Rattus norvegicus: one gene and its partners. The protein of the gene in region 2 purifies or fractionates together with the protein of the main gene of each other region. This does not show direct contact. Links are inferred from orthologs where the notes say so. Each region holds a gene or a part of one and is shown on either strand. Other genes may lie near its edges. The genes, in order: Stk11, Pip4k2a, Ube2h and Ahcyl1.

Region 1 (3,565 bases), on a different chromosome or scaffold from region 2:
TGGAGGCAGTGGTTGCCCAGGCTCTGGGTTATGTGTTGAGCCCGCCGGGGCACTGCTGGACAAACTAGCAGCTAGCCTCGACGAGAGACTCTTCTCTCCCCGTCTTGCTGAGCCAGTTGCCTCATCCCCGGTGCTGATTGTCGCTGCTGCCGCCCCTACATCCCCTGACCACAGCCCAGCCTAAGCTCTGTGTACTGGACCTGCCTCTCGGCTGCTTTGCCGGCGGCACGTGGGGCCGCTGTGGGAATGGTGGCGACAGCGGGAGCAACCTGAGGTTGCTGTGCATGGGTACGCGGCCCAAATCCCAAGTGTGTACAAGGAGTGTCCCCTCGGGCACTTAGCAGGGTGCAGTGGGCCTCCGGATGCACAAGGCCTCCGGACCCAGGCTCAGCTGCAGGGAGGATGAAGATCTTGGATTCTCAAGTCCATATACGGTTGACCCCCGGCACCCAGCCTCTGGCCACAGATGCGGGTGGAGCAGGTTCTGAGGTGCGCGTGCAGCCTCCCTCCAGGATCAGCCGAACCTCCACACTCGTGAGCACGTGCTGGCAGTGCCACTGCATGCGTGAACCTACTGGAGGGGAAGTGACTGCGGGGCACTGAGGATCAGAGAGGAACACGCGCCCCAGATCCTTAATCCTTTCCCCTGTCCATGGTATGCACTTTGTAGCAACTGTACCTTTCCTCTCTGAGCAATAACCGACTGCGCCTGCTCGCTCTCTGCATGTGCACAGGCTCCAGCCTGTCCCATCCCTCCCCACGAGCTTTGGGCTTTAAACACAGAGACAGAACAGCCCGGTGGCAGCTTCAAGTTTCCCAAGCTTTATTTATTGCCAAAAGATTGGGCAGCCTCGCCATGAGTGCCTGCCCACTCCCTGCCCTGCGCCCTGTGGTTGGTCGTGTTGTCTGGTTGATCATAAATGTCTCTGCATATTTGTTCGCTCTGGGTTTTCTCTGCAGGCCACCCTGTGCCCCGCCTGCTCCCTATTTCCAAACATCCTCATAGCCACAGCTCAAATCCTCCTGTTTTATTTAAAAAAAAAAAAAAAAAAAAAAAAAAAAGGAAAAAAAAAACCAACCCAAAGACAGCGAGGCTCGCAGGGCGGCATGCAGGCGAGGCCGACCAGTGGTCTCGACATAAAGTGCTTCTGGGGTGGCAGGTCTGCCCTCGGCTCCAATGTCCAGAAGTATGTGGACAGACAGGCCCGGAATCAGTATTGCCGGGACACCTGCCCAAAGATCCTGGCGACACACTGTTGGTAGAATGGGTGGCCACTTAGCACCAGGCCCCAGGTACTGGCCACTCCAGAGCAGAAAGGTCCTTTGTGCACATAGTCGGTAAGGGCTGTGGCCTCACCCCCTGCAGCCCTGCCCTTGGGAAGGAGCTAGGCGCATAGCAGACGCCCACTGTGAACACCAAACATGACTCTGGATCCTGGCCCTTGCCCACCTGTAGGCCTCAGTCACTGCTGCTTGCAGGCCGAGAGCCGGCGGATCTTGTTGCTGGAGCACACCTTGCGTGCAGGGTTGGCAGCGCCAGGCCGGCCTTCTGGCTTCACCTTGCTGCTGAGCTGGGGCTCTGTGCCATTCACACAAACAGCCTTGGGCAGGCTGTGGCTCTGTCCATTCTGACCCACTTCCTCTTCCAGGACCTGTCCTGCGGGAAGATGGCAAGCATAGCTTGAGTCAAGGGCCAGGCAGCTCAAAGTCCCAGGGTCCAGCCAGCCCCAATTGCACCAGAGGCTGGTCTCTGCCACCCCTCAGTAGCTCCAAAGATAGTCAGGCCATACCTTCCCAGTGGTATGCCCTGGCCCTCCTGCAGCACACCCATGCTCACCTGCCTGTCTAGCCTGGGTAGCCCAGCACCAGCTCACAGAGCTCTCCAAGGGAGCCAGGCTCTAGACCCTCAGAACAGGCACAAGGAGATGAAGCCCTCAGCCTGGGGGCTACTAGATGTGCAGAGCATGGGGAAGGAGACCATCCAGCTGGGGGCTGCAGGCCCAGCATGCTCTGCTGGGCTGCACTCATGGTGGAACAAGAGGCGACCTCTTCTGAGCTCCCCAGGCTTCAGTGGGCAGAGTGTACGGGTAACTACATAGCCCAGTGCTCTGCAATGTGGCTGAGAACCCAGCACAAGCCCTACTGCCCTTGTTCCCAGAGCCTCCTACTCAGCCACACTGGCAGCACCCACCCAGGCTCTCATGCTGGACAGGACTAGGCGTGGGGTCAGGTGGACTCTGCCCCTCCTCCATCCACACAAGACACTGAGTAGAAAGGCCCTGTGCTGTTGCTGCAGGCAGAGGAACCAGGCTCCCCTCTGAGTGCCATCACTTCCCTGTACAGCAAGCACTCCCCCAGTTGTCCCTTCCTTCCCAGCAGCCTTGAGGGTCCCTCATGCAGCCAGCATCTCCGTGCGCCTGCTCCCCAGCAGAGGGGCCCACAGCAAGAAAGAGGGCCTTGCCCCGCACCAGCTATCAGCTCAGAGCTGAGCCGGTGGGACAGTGTAGGCAAGGGCTCCAGGTGACAGAGAGAAGACACTATTCCCACATGGGGATGGAAGGGCTGCAGCCAAGGCCCACACTGAACCTCAGGCGCACACCTGTCCTTGTGGGCCGACCTGGCACCCAGCGGGGGCACTGCTTTCAGAACACTGATCTGCTACAGGAGACACAGTAGCCCAAGGTCCTTACCCTCCCCACATGGCTGTTTGAAAGGCCAGGAGCTGAGTGGGGCTGGCCTGAGGGGCACAGGAACAAAGGCTCCACAGCCCTGGCTGGTGGCCACCCTGACGCTGAAACCCTGCCCCAGGCCCTGGGCCCAGGCATGTCCTTTGAAACCCTGGTAGGAAGCCTGTCATGAGGAGCAGTGACGGGGAGGGAGGGAAGGAAGAGGGAGGGAGGGAGGGAGGGAGGGAGGGAGGGCAGTCGCGGTAAGCATCCCCCTGCAGACACAGTGGACAAAGCTTTATGGAAGACAAGTGGGGCAGCAGACAGGGAGCTACACTACGGCCCCGAAGCCCTCCTCGGGCTCCTCTCCGGGAAGGCCTGCGCCCTGGCTCTTCCACATGCATGTGTCGCATGCGTCCTCGCTAAGCCCTGACTCGGCCGTCTCCTCGACACCTGGGGAAGAAGGCGATAGAAGGTCAGGCATGGCCAGGACTGAGGGCCACTGGACCCTCCCTCAGGCGGCTGTCTCAGGGCACCTACCCGCTGCCCTCCAGGGTCCCCTCCTCCTGCTAGACACAGCCATACGGAGGCCATAAGAAGCTGCAGATGGGCCCAGGGAGCCCTCCAGCCAGCCCAGAGTGAATGCCTCCACAGCCACCAGGATGGCTTTGGCAGTCCTGGGGGCTCGTATCAGCTGGAGCCTTGGGAAGAGGACCAGCCCCAGAGTGCACAAAGGCACAAGCTCCAGCGTGAGCTGCGCCCAGTCAACTCACCAGGCACTGTGAAGTCCTGGGTATAGATGATGCCGTCCTCAATGTCAAACAAGTCCTCGTCCTCCTCCTCCTCTGCACGGCCATGCAGGTCCTCCAGGTAGGGCACTACGGTCATGCTGCGCCAGC
Region 2 (3,565 bases):
GAAGTGGGGTTTGAGGAGGTAAGGAGGCTCATTTCAACCTGCTAACCAGTTTATAACCTGCTCCTTCACTGTGTGGCCACCACCCATAGAAGAGTTGGTTCCAGTACTCATAAAGATCACAGGAAGGTCCTGGCTCCAGGAGTTAACACAGGCTAAGGATGTGGCTTTATGATGGACATGCTTTGACATGTACAAGGCTATGGGTACCTGGCACCAAAAGAAAGAAAATTAAACTACAGGAATCAGGGATAATTCCTTATTCTAAGGAATCAGATAGACTGGATCTTGTGAGAGGAGAAAGGGAAAAAACCAGAGTCCTGGCAGTGTAAGGCTTGTAAAAGCAAGCAGGAGGTCTGAGAAGTTCTGAGTCTACACACTTGGAAATATTGCATATTTTTAAGATAAATGCATGAGTTAAGTCAGTTATGGTTGTACGCACCTCTAATCCCTACACTCAAGAGGTAGAGACAGGTATGAGCTCCGATTTTGAGACCCACCTGGTCTGCATTGCTGAGCTCTAGCCCAACCAAGGCTATGTAGTGAGAACCCACCACAAGTAGAAAAGTAAATAAACAAGTTTAAAGAGTGTGGGGCCGGCAGATAATGTCTCTCCTTTCCCACAGTCGCTGGCACCAGCCCCCACCCCTGAGCCTGGTCCCCAGCCTGTCTTCTCTTTCTCCTTGGGCTCACACTGTGGGACTCTCTTTTCCCCCACAGAGTTCTGGTCTTCCTTGAAATGTTTGGAATGAGCACAGCTAATTCCACCCCGACACCAAAATGCTTTGCAATAAAGTTAGTGGGAGACGAGTCAGGGGCCTCTCCCACATGCTTGTCCTCTAGACTTAACACCCATCCTACCGTGCCACGGGCATGCCTGTTGTGTGTGGAAGTGCCCTTCTTCTAGGCTACCAGATGTTCTCCGTCATAGTGCCAGGGTGGTGGCAAGTTCTCAAGGAGTTGCGGCCATTCACCTTTTGCAGACCGGGATTCTGCAGGGCCAGCCAGCCAGCCAGTCAGCCAGTCAATGGGCTGCTCGGTCTGCTCTCTGTTAAGCTATCCACACTTCAGTGGGTCAATAAGAGCATTGCATGCCCTGTGTCTGTGTAGATCCAATTAATTAAAATGAACGAGAGAAGAAAGCAAGAACTTGACAGATGGGAGGGGACAAACCCACAGCTGGCCTTGACTTGTAGCCATGACTGGAAGGGGAAAGGGGGCAGTGCCCCTGGGCCTCATGGGAAACGGAGTACCTTAGCATCATTGTTGTTAGCCAGAAGTTGAACGGGTACAGAGGGAATGTGTTACTTACCACCGTACTGACACCATTCACTCACCGGTTGACAGGGATAGAAGAGCTTTTGCTTATCGGTGACCAACAGCGTGATAATTATGTGCTAGGGGTATGCTGGGTTTCCAGTGCTTTCCAGGAGGCTTTCTTGAGCTTCGCTGGAAGCTACCTGGTGACTCCCTGGTTTTTCCCATTACCCAGTTGTTTTCTTTGTTGGAGAAAAGCACACACACAAACTCCCAAGGCTCTTCTGACAGCACCTTACACCCTTAAAATTACCTCAGCGGTTACATAATAAATGCCAGTCTCAGGAAACAGCTTCGCATTGTCAGTGGGGTGGTATAATCCTAGCAGTGAGCCAGCCAGAAGTGAGGAAACTGTCTAAGAATGGGAACCACATAAAGGAGGCACAGGGGGTCCCCTTAGCCCTTGGACCCTTCCCCAGTGTTTCGTCCTTCTGATCCTAAATTCTTTAATTCTTAGCGTTGTTAAGGTGTTAACCAACCTGTCTCCTCCCCCTCCAGTTCCTTGCACAACTAAAACTCATGGACTACAGCCTCCTGGTGGGGATTCATGATGTGGAGCGAGCAGAGCAAGAGGAGGTTGAGTGTGAGGAGAACGAGGGGGAAGAAGAAGGAGAGAGTGACGGTGCCCACCCCATCGGGACGCCACCTGACAGTCCTGGAAACACACTCAACAGCTCACCACCCTTGGCTCCTGGCGAGTTCGACCCAAACATTGATGTTTATGCAATTAAATGCCATGAAAGTAAGCTTAGTGTCATTGACTCGTTCTGCACGTAGAGTGGTTTGATTTTCGCACTGGGATCTATCAGTAAGGCCGGCCCTGGTTCCGAGGGCGCTGTTTGCAGGGCTCCCACTGAGTCTAATGCACTGATAATCAGACGGCGATGTGCGTTTAAAGGAAATAGTCATTTCAGGTGTTGGAGGGCGGAAGGAAACTAGAAAGCGTCTTTAATATATTGCGCATATGCATTTGTAGATAATGTATTATGACAGATAAGCCCAGTGTATTCCCACAGGTGTGTCCAGCTTAGACCCCAGGAGAGCATTGAAGGGAGCATCCCAACACGTTTATAGATCACGGTGTTATACCTCAGTGTCAAAAGGTTACACGCCCTAAGCGTGTTAACATTGAACTCGTTTTTTCATGCCAGGTTCAGTGATACCAAGTCTGCCTGAGCAATTTAACAAGAGCCTGCCTCAAAATGAAAGATGCCTTATGCTGTAGCCCACTGGTGGAACACTTGTCTGACATGAGGGGGGACTGGGGGTTGAGCCCCAGGACAGAGGCCTGACAGTGTCTCACAGATCTGTTCCGGGTGAGGCAAGTGTGTGCAGTCCACTGTGCCCCTTGATCGGGTGGCCTTCTCGTGGAGCTGACATTACCACTCAGGCTGCCTTTTCAGGGGTGCAGAGGCCAGGCCCCAGTGCACACAGTGAGAATCACTGCCTCTTCTGCTGTCTCCATGATGAGATCTGTGGCCCTCCTCACAGGGCCTCCCTCACGTCAGTTCTCAGGATCCTGGTGTTTGGTTGGTTTAGCTTAAAAGTCATGACTGTAGCTACATGTCCATGGCAAAAATATTTTACTAATATGGTAAAACAAACAAAAAAAACCCTTCCCTTCTCACTTAAATAATCAAACAGGTCATTTCTGCCCCATCATGTCAGCCAACAGGTTTTGGGTTGTATTTTTTATATTTTTAATTTTAGCCACCAAAATCCTTCCTTAAACATAAGAAAACCAGTTATAATTGAGTGTACATTTCTTAACTATTTGTAATTGAAACAAAGTATTTTTTGAAACTATGTAGAAAGTAGATAATGGAGACCTAAAACCCTTTATTCAGTTCTGATATTCTATCCGGGGAGAAAATGCAGTGCCCGGGTAGAAAGGGATTAGTTAATAAGCATAATTAATTCTACTTGCTTTACAAAAAATTCTAAAGAGAGCATTTTTCTTTACATAAAAACAGTTTACTATGGTGAACGAAATGCAGACTAGGAAACAAAGTTACTGTCCCGGCTTCTTGCTGCTTTTGTTTCGGTACAGGGGGCCAACCGGAATGCGGTTTCTGCATCCCACCCCCTCCTAACCGCTTGGCTTGTCCTCTGAGTGTTGTCCCCTGTCCCACAGCCTCTGCTTTCCTCCCGTTCCAGACGCACCTAGGAAAGAAGTGTACTTCATGGCGATTATTGACATTCTCACTCATTACGATGCAAAAAAGAAAGCTGCCCACGCTGCGAAAACTGT
Region 3 (3,565 bases), on a different chromosome or scaffold from region 2:
AAAGTCCAGGGTGGAGTGACTTGGGGGCAGGCATGGGAACTGCAGTGCAGAACCAGTGACACCTTCATCATGTGTCTGGATGGACACTCTGCACTGTCAGCCCTGCACGGGAAGGAATGATGTCTCTTCATTGGAGCGAAGTGGCCCCCGGTAAGGGTCAAGAGCTGTAGCTGCTCACACCTGTTTCCCAAAGTTGGCTCTGTTTTATTTTTTCCCCAACAATATCAAAAGCAATTATCTGGATTTTTTTTTTGAGGAGGAGGTAATCAGAGCACTACTTTTATATAGTATTGAAAAAAAACCCACATTTTTAATTGTTTGAACTCACGACCATCACCCAGCAGTTCAAGCCTGCCCAAGGTAGCACCCACAGGAAGGCTGTAGCATGAGCAAAGGGCTAATCTGCAGGGCAGCAAGCTGCAAGTGTGAGCAGAAACTCCCCTAACCACAACAGAGCGTGGCAGGCAAACGGTCACATGGCACACAGCTAAAGCCACCTTTCAACAAGCCAGGGTGCCAGGGACAGTGCAGTGAACCAACCCCAGCACTAGAGAACTGCATTTTCCCCAAAGAAACCTTTTGCTTCATGCCCGTAATTAACGTAAAATAAGTAAATTATTTGTCTTTTTATTTAGGAAAATAATCATGCTAAAAGTTGTACTTTTATAGATTTTCAAAGGAAAGACTGATTGTGCTTTTTGAATTAAAAAAGAAAAAAGATAGGTGTTCTCCAACCTCATTGACTTAACCCTTGTGGAATATAGCACTTCTAAACTAAAAACACACATCAAGAGAAAGGTTAGTCCAGTGGGACATTCAAAATGTCTTCAGAAGGTCTTACATTGGCTACGTCTACTGCTCTGGTTTCGGCAAAAATACAGAGCAGAGCTGCTCTCTAAACGGTCTCCAAATTCCCTCCAGAGTCAGGTCTCAAACTGCCGGGCACACTGGATGGCAGTTGGCCGGTAGCAGCCAGCCAGGCACTTCCAGCTGTCTGTCTGTCTGTCTGTCTGTTACTGCAGAGGGAGAAAGTGGTGTCCCCTCAACCTGCCTCCATGACAATTTACTAAAGTGGTTCTTCCCACTTCGAGCCACTTTGGTACAAAAACTTCAGTTTGTTTCAACTGTTACCCATTTCAAATTTAGGATGTTTTGGGTCTCGGATACCCACACTACCCACACTCCCACAGCAGTTGGCAGCTTCTGGGAGGAAAACTAAGCTGGAGTTCCAAGGGTTGTGCAGGGCTCAAGCAACAAGGCCAGTCTTCCTCCATTTGATGGTCCACTGAGCACCTTGTCCAGGGAGGAGACTCTCTTGGTAGTGAAAATTAAACCTGTAACTTGTCTAAGTACAATTCACACAAAGCTAAAAAAAAAAAGAAAAACAAAACACCAAACAGAACTGCTTCCAGTGTCACAGCTCAGTCCAGGGCAATGGTCTCCGACAGGCCCGGCCGGCCGGCGCTGGATCAGATGTCACTCGGCGTCTTCCAGTCACCTTTCTCCTTCAGTCCTGTTCTCTCAAAATGCTCTGCTGGATGACAAACTGGACACCCCCAAAAGGAAATGGGTTCAGAAAATGCTTCCCAAATGTTCTCCAAGGCAAAAAACCAATGTGGCTGCAGGTCTGGCAGCAGGGAGGGCGGGAATCTACCTAGAAAAACACACTTAAATCTGAGCCAAAAAAACCCCAAAGCCCTAAGTCTCGCTTCTCATCAACTCTGTCTCACGCTGCTCCTCACAAAGGGCCACTTAGGACTATGGAGTGGCTGACACAGACAGCGCAGCTTCACAGGCTCTCAAAGCACGCGTCTCAACCCTTTCCTTTCCACTCTGGAAAAGCACGGTTCTATCTTCATCCAAGAGCTGGTAGAATTTGGTTTGTTTCTTTGGAACCATCAATAAAAGAAGCAAACTTGTCATTAACTCATGTTTACCTCAGAGCGGCAATCTCTTGACAGTAGTTCAGTAGCGCACAGGCTGACTTGGCCAAATGGACTTACGCATGCATGCATTCAGACCGCATACTGCTACCAAAATGGAATGTGGGAATATGCTACGCACCTCAGGTTGAGAAATGACCAAGAAATCAAGATCTAAAGGGTGATATATAATATATATATATCAATGCTATTATTCATAAAAACCTTGTTTAGTAATAAAAAAAATTGCTTTGTTTAAATATGAATATTAGAGTCTGCTTCTCATGGTTAGGATATAATAGTCTTTCTGAAAAGCAGATGCCTTTTCTACTACAACTCCATGTCCTGGGCCTCATCTTCTGAGAAGTCGGACATAGAACTCTCCGATGAGCTGTCGCCAGTGCCCTCCTCCTGCTCCTTCAGGGCCTCCTCCGTTGCATACTTCTGGATGTACTCTGCACAGGGGGAGGGTGGGGGGAAGGAAACACAGGGTGTGAGTTCAGTGACCCCTCGGTACAAACTCACCTGCTACCCCGGTGTTATGGTAACGAAAAGCCAAGGGGTTCCAAAGAGGAAGTGACTTGTTTGGGCTGAAGTGGGCAGTCCACACTTTTTACTTTCCCCGTTAATAAAGTGGTTTATCTCCTAGACAGGAGTGGTCTAGTGATGACTCCTCGGTGACTCCCCACCCCTGATCTGCACCTATGCAATCACACTCGATCCTGACCGCTGGGTTTTGGAAGCAGACAGTAATCATGGTCTGGCTCTGCTCATCAGGGACAGGCTGCTGTGTGGAGGTGCAGGGTCTTGAGGGTTCTTCCATGTACTCACTATTCTCCTCAAGATTATGCTTAAGAGCCTAGGCCAAAGGGCCGGCTGAAAACAAATGTAAGAAATGCTGAATAAACAATACATTTGTTCCTAAAAGGACGCTGTGTAAGTAAACTGCCCACACACTGTGGAAGGGCAATGGTGGGACTCCAATCAGCACAACTGGACACAGGGCCTCTCATGTCTTCATGCCAATGGTGCTGTTAAAGCTGCTGTAAAAAGGCAGGCAAAAGATCACACAGGCCCGTTGATGCTGAAAAGACAGCAGGGGATCCAGGTAGGAATGTTTCCCTATTCCCTTCAGTTTTGTTTTGTGAGATGGTTGTGTCTTCTTGGCTGGCCTGGAACTTGCTGTGTACCAGACTAACTTAAAACTTGCCATAGGGCTGGAGAGATGGCTCAGCGGTTAAGAGCACCCGACTACTCTTCCAGAGGTCCTGAGTTCAATTCCCAGCAACCACATGGTGGCTCACAACCATCTGTAAAGAGATCCGATGCCCTCTTCTGGTGTGTCTGAAGACAGCTACAGTGTACTTTTATATATGATAAATGAATAAATCTTAAAAAAAAAACAAAAACAAAAAAACTTGCTATGAGGGAGGCTGGAGAGATGGCTCAGCGGTTGGGAGCACTGACTGCTCTTCCAGAGGTCCTGAGTTCAATTCCCGGCAACCACATGGTGGCTCACAACTATCTGTAATGGGATCTGATGCCCTCTTCTGGTGTCTGAAGACAGTAACAGTGTGCTCATCGTGCCATGAGCCTCCTCCAGTGTATGTCAAGTGCCCACAACCAGACACACTTTCTTTCTA
Region 4 (3,565 bases), on a different chromosome or scaffold from region 2:
TGACAAAATGTTCTGAAATGGCCACAAAATTAGACAACAAAATCCCCTTCTGAAGTAAAAGCCAATGTTCCATCCCAGCAATGGCAAATGATGAGCTACAGGGAGCTACAGACTGGCTGCTGTGGAGCCCCAGAGTCTACACAGGAGAAAATGCCAAGAGGCCCCATAAAAGGCTTAGAGTGAAGGGAACAAAGCATCTTACTCTCTTTCCCTGGGAGATTTCTACGAAAACAGTGAAGTAAATGAATCACCAGCTTGCAGAAATACAAAACACGAACAGCAAACCTGACAGTGTTACAGCACCCCACCCTTACCAGGCCTGCAGAGCACAGATGGGGTCAATTTCTGTGATGTAGACAATTGCTCCAAGGGCCTTGAGAGCAGCACAGCAGCCCTTTCCTACCTGCAGAATATAGGAAAGCCCAAGTTGCCAGGTCTAGTAAGACATGATCACCAGGGCAGACAAGCTTTTGAGGAGATAGGAATTAGTCTTCTTTAAATCAGTCATCATCCAGGGAACATTCCAACCCCAGCTGGAGCAGAAAGAAACCCAATCTAGGCTGTAAACCTCAATTAGAGATAATTTAGCAGACAAGTCACAGCAAGAGTTGGGGAAATATGAAAATAAGACCAAACAAGAACAACTGATTTACTCCATAAAAACCTGGTAAAACTTTCTTCCAATGTGTCTACTCAATACCCAGCAGCCCAAGAACTTCAGTGAACCACTGCTGAAGACGATGAAACTTCCTAGGACCTAGTCCACTTTAGAGACATTCAACTATAATGCCACTTCGGTTTCTCCATTATAATGCAAGTCATAAGATGGGGATAAAAATGCTACTTATCCGCTTGAATTTTATTTCATAAAAGGTTATAAGTGGGAGACAGTAATGTTGACATTAATCAATAAGATAAAGTGCTAAAATATGGAAGTTCAATACACTCTGCCTTTAATTCATGAATATGAAAAGAAGGACTTCTGCCACTATTTTCAAGCACAGTATGGAAAACCATGTGTCAGTGTTTGTAGATTGTCTCCTTCCTCCAGTGTTTCTCTAAAGCCCTTCTAATAAGAATAGACAGAGACACGGGGGCCCAACTATTTACCTCACCATAGCCACACACCACCACCTGTTTCCCACCAAACATCACATCTGTGGTCCTCTTCAGGCTGTGGAAACAGACAAGGACTCATCTCAAACATCATTTACAACTTGGTCCCTTTGTACCAAACTCAAGTGTAGGGCAACGCCCAGGAGAAATTCATTTGAAAGCTGGCTGAGATCAGTGTGAAGTGGGCCCCTTTAGTTACATGTAAAGGTGGGAGACTACAGGGGCAAGCTACAGGTATCAGACTAACATGTCAAACAAATACCACCAATCCCTGCAAGTCTGAATGTATACATTTCAACATACCCATCCAAAATGGATTCTCGGCAGCAGTACAAGTTATCAAACTTCTGTTTGGTAACAGAATCATTGACATTCATGGCTGGAACACAGAGCTTCCCAGCTTTGGAGAGCTGATACAGCCTAAAAGGGAGAAGAAGCCACAAAACAAACACACAACCAGTTAGTGACAAACAGTAAACAGCAGTCTGCTTCTGTCTCTTCAAGTCATGCTGCCCTCCTTATTCTTATTTATGCCCAGAAATTCTTCGGAAACATGACTATTTTCTTGTCATCTCTCCTCAACTCATTTCCTTCTACCTTTATCCTTTACTTTTGGGGAAGAAAAGTAAAAAATTTTCAGTTGAAGTAATTTACTGCTCTTCCACAAATGGAACATTATAACCTTAGGCCAGCATTGTTCTAACTTTCAGTACTCCTGTTTACTTCAGGTCAACAAAGATGACAAGTGTTTTGATGTGATTCACTGTGTCTGTGAGAGCAATCACGTACACTGTGCCCCGGTAGAGCAGTGCTCCTAGATACCATTTAGTTATTTCCACCAAGCCAAGAGTATATCTCCAGTTTTACTTTTTGTTGCATCACATATAGCTTTTTTTTTTTAAAAAATACTTTTCCTTCCATATTTAAAATATAAAAATTATAATACAACATTGAGCACAAGTTTTACAAGACACACTCCTCCCTACGCCCCTACTCCCAAATAATTGTTAATTACTCAGTGGAGTAAATGGGAGAGATAAAAGCATGTGAATTAGAATTTGAAAAACTTCCTTCAAAATTCCTTCTATGGTCATTTTGATTTTGCAAAAGTAAAAACTCAGTTTTATCTAATGAAGACACTCCCACTTAGTTATTTAAAGTCTGAAACACAGCCCTAAAGTCTAGGAGAGACCAGAAGAATTTGATGAGGCAAGGACACAAGGGGCAGCTACTCCAGAATCTGTTACCTGTGAACACCAGTCACGCTCTCTTCCACAATGCCTCGGATCTTCTTAAACACGTTTGGATACTTCTTATAAACCCAGTGGGTTAAGTCTCCCCCATCATCCAGGATCTACAGAACAGCCAGAAGACTTCTATGGGCATTCAGGCTGCTAGAGCTAGGGGGAACTTTGAGCCCATTTTCTACACTAGTGAGAGAGCCCTGGATATTTTGGAAGAGCACGTCTTAACGCTCAGCAGAATAGGCTTAGACAGTGGAAATATAGTTAAATCTGTTGGTGTAAAGTGATTAAGAGAATTCCTCAATGAGTTCTAGGCTACAACGGAAAGTTCTCTTTTGAGACTGGATCTTGCTTGTTGCTCAGGCTACTCTAAAATTCCTGAGCTCGAGGATTCCTGCTTCAGCCTCTCAAATGCTGGGAATACAGGCAAGCGCCATGCTCAGCTACAGTAAATAAGTGTTACAAATCATGGGCTCATTTTCAGTCTAGCTGACATATACAGCTCCTCTGAATGCAAAAGGAGAAGTGGAGCAGGAAGGAAAGAAATAAGACTCCTACTCCAAAGAGGGACCAACCACATCATTTCCTTCTGTTTATTCTGCTGTGTTTGAGCCCTGTGTCCACCTCAGCTTACCCTTCCCCCACCTTTCTATTCACTTCGCAGAGCTTTTTTCCATTTCTTTCTTTCCTTCCTTCCTTTCCTTTCTTTCTTTTTGGTGCTGGAGATTGAACCCAGGGACTTGTGCATCTTAGATCCATACCGAGTAGGTATTGTGTTATGAACACTTTAGCAATATAGTCAGTAAATAAGACCAAACACACAAAAATATATTTAGGGAACCATGCTTTAAAGGAGAAAAGGAAATAAATCCATAGTAAAAAATATGGGGTGGACATGAATGATTACCATGTTAGCCTGCCACCCATCCATGTTGACACAGCGGTCAATGCACCACCAGAAATCATCTTCTGACTCGCCCTTCCAAGCAAACACTGCAACTCCTATGGAGACAGAAATAAATTAGTTAATGCTGCTTCTGATGTGCACATCAATACCAGCTCTGAGATCCACATGAAGAATGAAAGGGAAAAGAAAAATTCAGAGAGGGAAAACTTAAAAAGTCAAAATGGTACTTTTTAGTTCAGAAATTACTGTACTTAAGAAATTAAGAGATTTCTGTTTTAAAAATATTTTGGAGTCATAA

Evidence for each region.
Region 1: the proteins of Pip4k2a (region 2) and Stk11 purify together in Homo sapiens (affinity purification with mass spectrometry; 3 studies listed by BioGRID and IntAct, counting the BioPlex papers as one, with this or other methods). This does not show direct contact. The link is inferred for Rattus norvegicus from reciprocal best matches to the Homo sapiens genes PIP4K2A and STK11.
Region 3: the proteins of Pip4k2a (region 2) and Ube2h purify together in Homo sapiens (affinity purification with mass spectrometry; 3 studies listed by BioGRID and IntAct, with this or other methods). This does not show direct contact. The link is inferred for Rattus norvegicus from reciprocal best matches to the Homo sapiens genes PIP4K2A and UBE2H.
Region 4: the proteins of Pip4k2a (region 2) and Ahcyl1 purify together in Homo sapiens (co-immunoprecipitation; 3 studies listed by BioGRID and IntAct, counting the BioPlex papers as one, with this or other methods). This does not show direct contact. The link is inferred for Rattus norvegicus from reciprocal best matches to the Homo sapiens genes PIP4K2A and AHCYL1.

Annotation. Positions count from the first base shown.
Region 1 is NC_086025.1:10,224,923-10,228,487, forward strand, and holds the end of Stk11 (serine/threonine-protein kinase STK11), read right to left. Parts: coding exon 3,440-3,565; intron 3,120-3,439; exon of another isoform or gene 1,658-3,119; coding exon 1,464-1,657; 3' UTR 1,451-1,463; exon of another isoform or gene 1,254-1,450; 3' UTR 282-1,253; downstream 1-281. Other genes in the region: Cbarp (voltage-dependent calcium channel beta subunit-associated regulatory protein), read left to right, coding at 1-184. UniProt on the Homo sapiens protein: Tumor suppressor serine/threonine-protein kinase that controls the activity of AMP-activated protein kinase (AMPK) family members, thereby playing a role in various processes such as cell metabolism, cell polarity, apoptosis and DNA damage response.
Region 2 is NC_086035.1:86,408,931-86,412,495, reverse strand, and holds part of Pip4k2a (phosphatidylinositol 5-phosphate 4-kinase type-2 alpha), read left to right. Parts: intron 1-1,812; coding exon 1,813-2,056; intron 2,057-3,448; coding exon of another isoform or gene 3,449-3,471; coding exon 3,472-3,565. UniProt on the Homo sapiens protein: Catalyzes the phosphorylation of phosphatidylinositol 5-phosphate (PtdIns5P) on the fourth hydroxyl of the myo-inositol ring, to form phosphatidylinositol 4,5-bisphosphate (PtdIns(4,5)P2). Has both ATP- and GTP-dependent kinase activities.
Region 3 is NC_086022.1:59,803,521-59,807,085, forward strand, and holds part of Ube2h (ubiquitin-conjugating enzyme E2 H), read right to left. Parts: intron 2,378-3,565; coding exon 2,253-2,377; 3' UTR 1-2,252. UniProt on the Homo sapiens protein: Accepts ubiquitin from the E1 complex and catalyzes its covalent attachment to other proteins. E2 ubiquitin conjugating enzyme that transfers ubiquitin to MAEA, a core component of the CTLH E3 ubiquitin-protein ligase complex.
Region 4 is NC_086020.1:197,988,547-197,992,111, forward strand, and holds part of Ahcyl1 (S-adenosylhomocysteine hydrolase-like protein 1), read right to left. Parts: intron 3,363-3,565; coding exon 3,268-3,362; intron 2,471-3,267; coding exon 2,364-2,470; intron 1,537-2,363; coding exon 1,420-1,536; intron 1,175-1,419; coding exon 1,111-1,174; intron 404-1,110; coding exon 315-403; intron 1-314. UniProt on the Homo sapiens protein: Multifaceted cellular regulator which coordinates several essential cellular functions including regulation of epithelial HCO3(-) and fluid secretion, mRNA processing and DNA replication.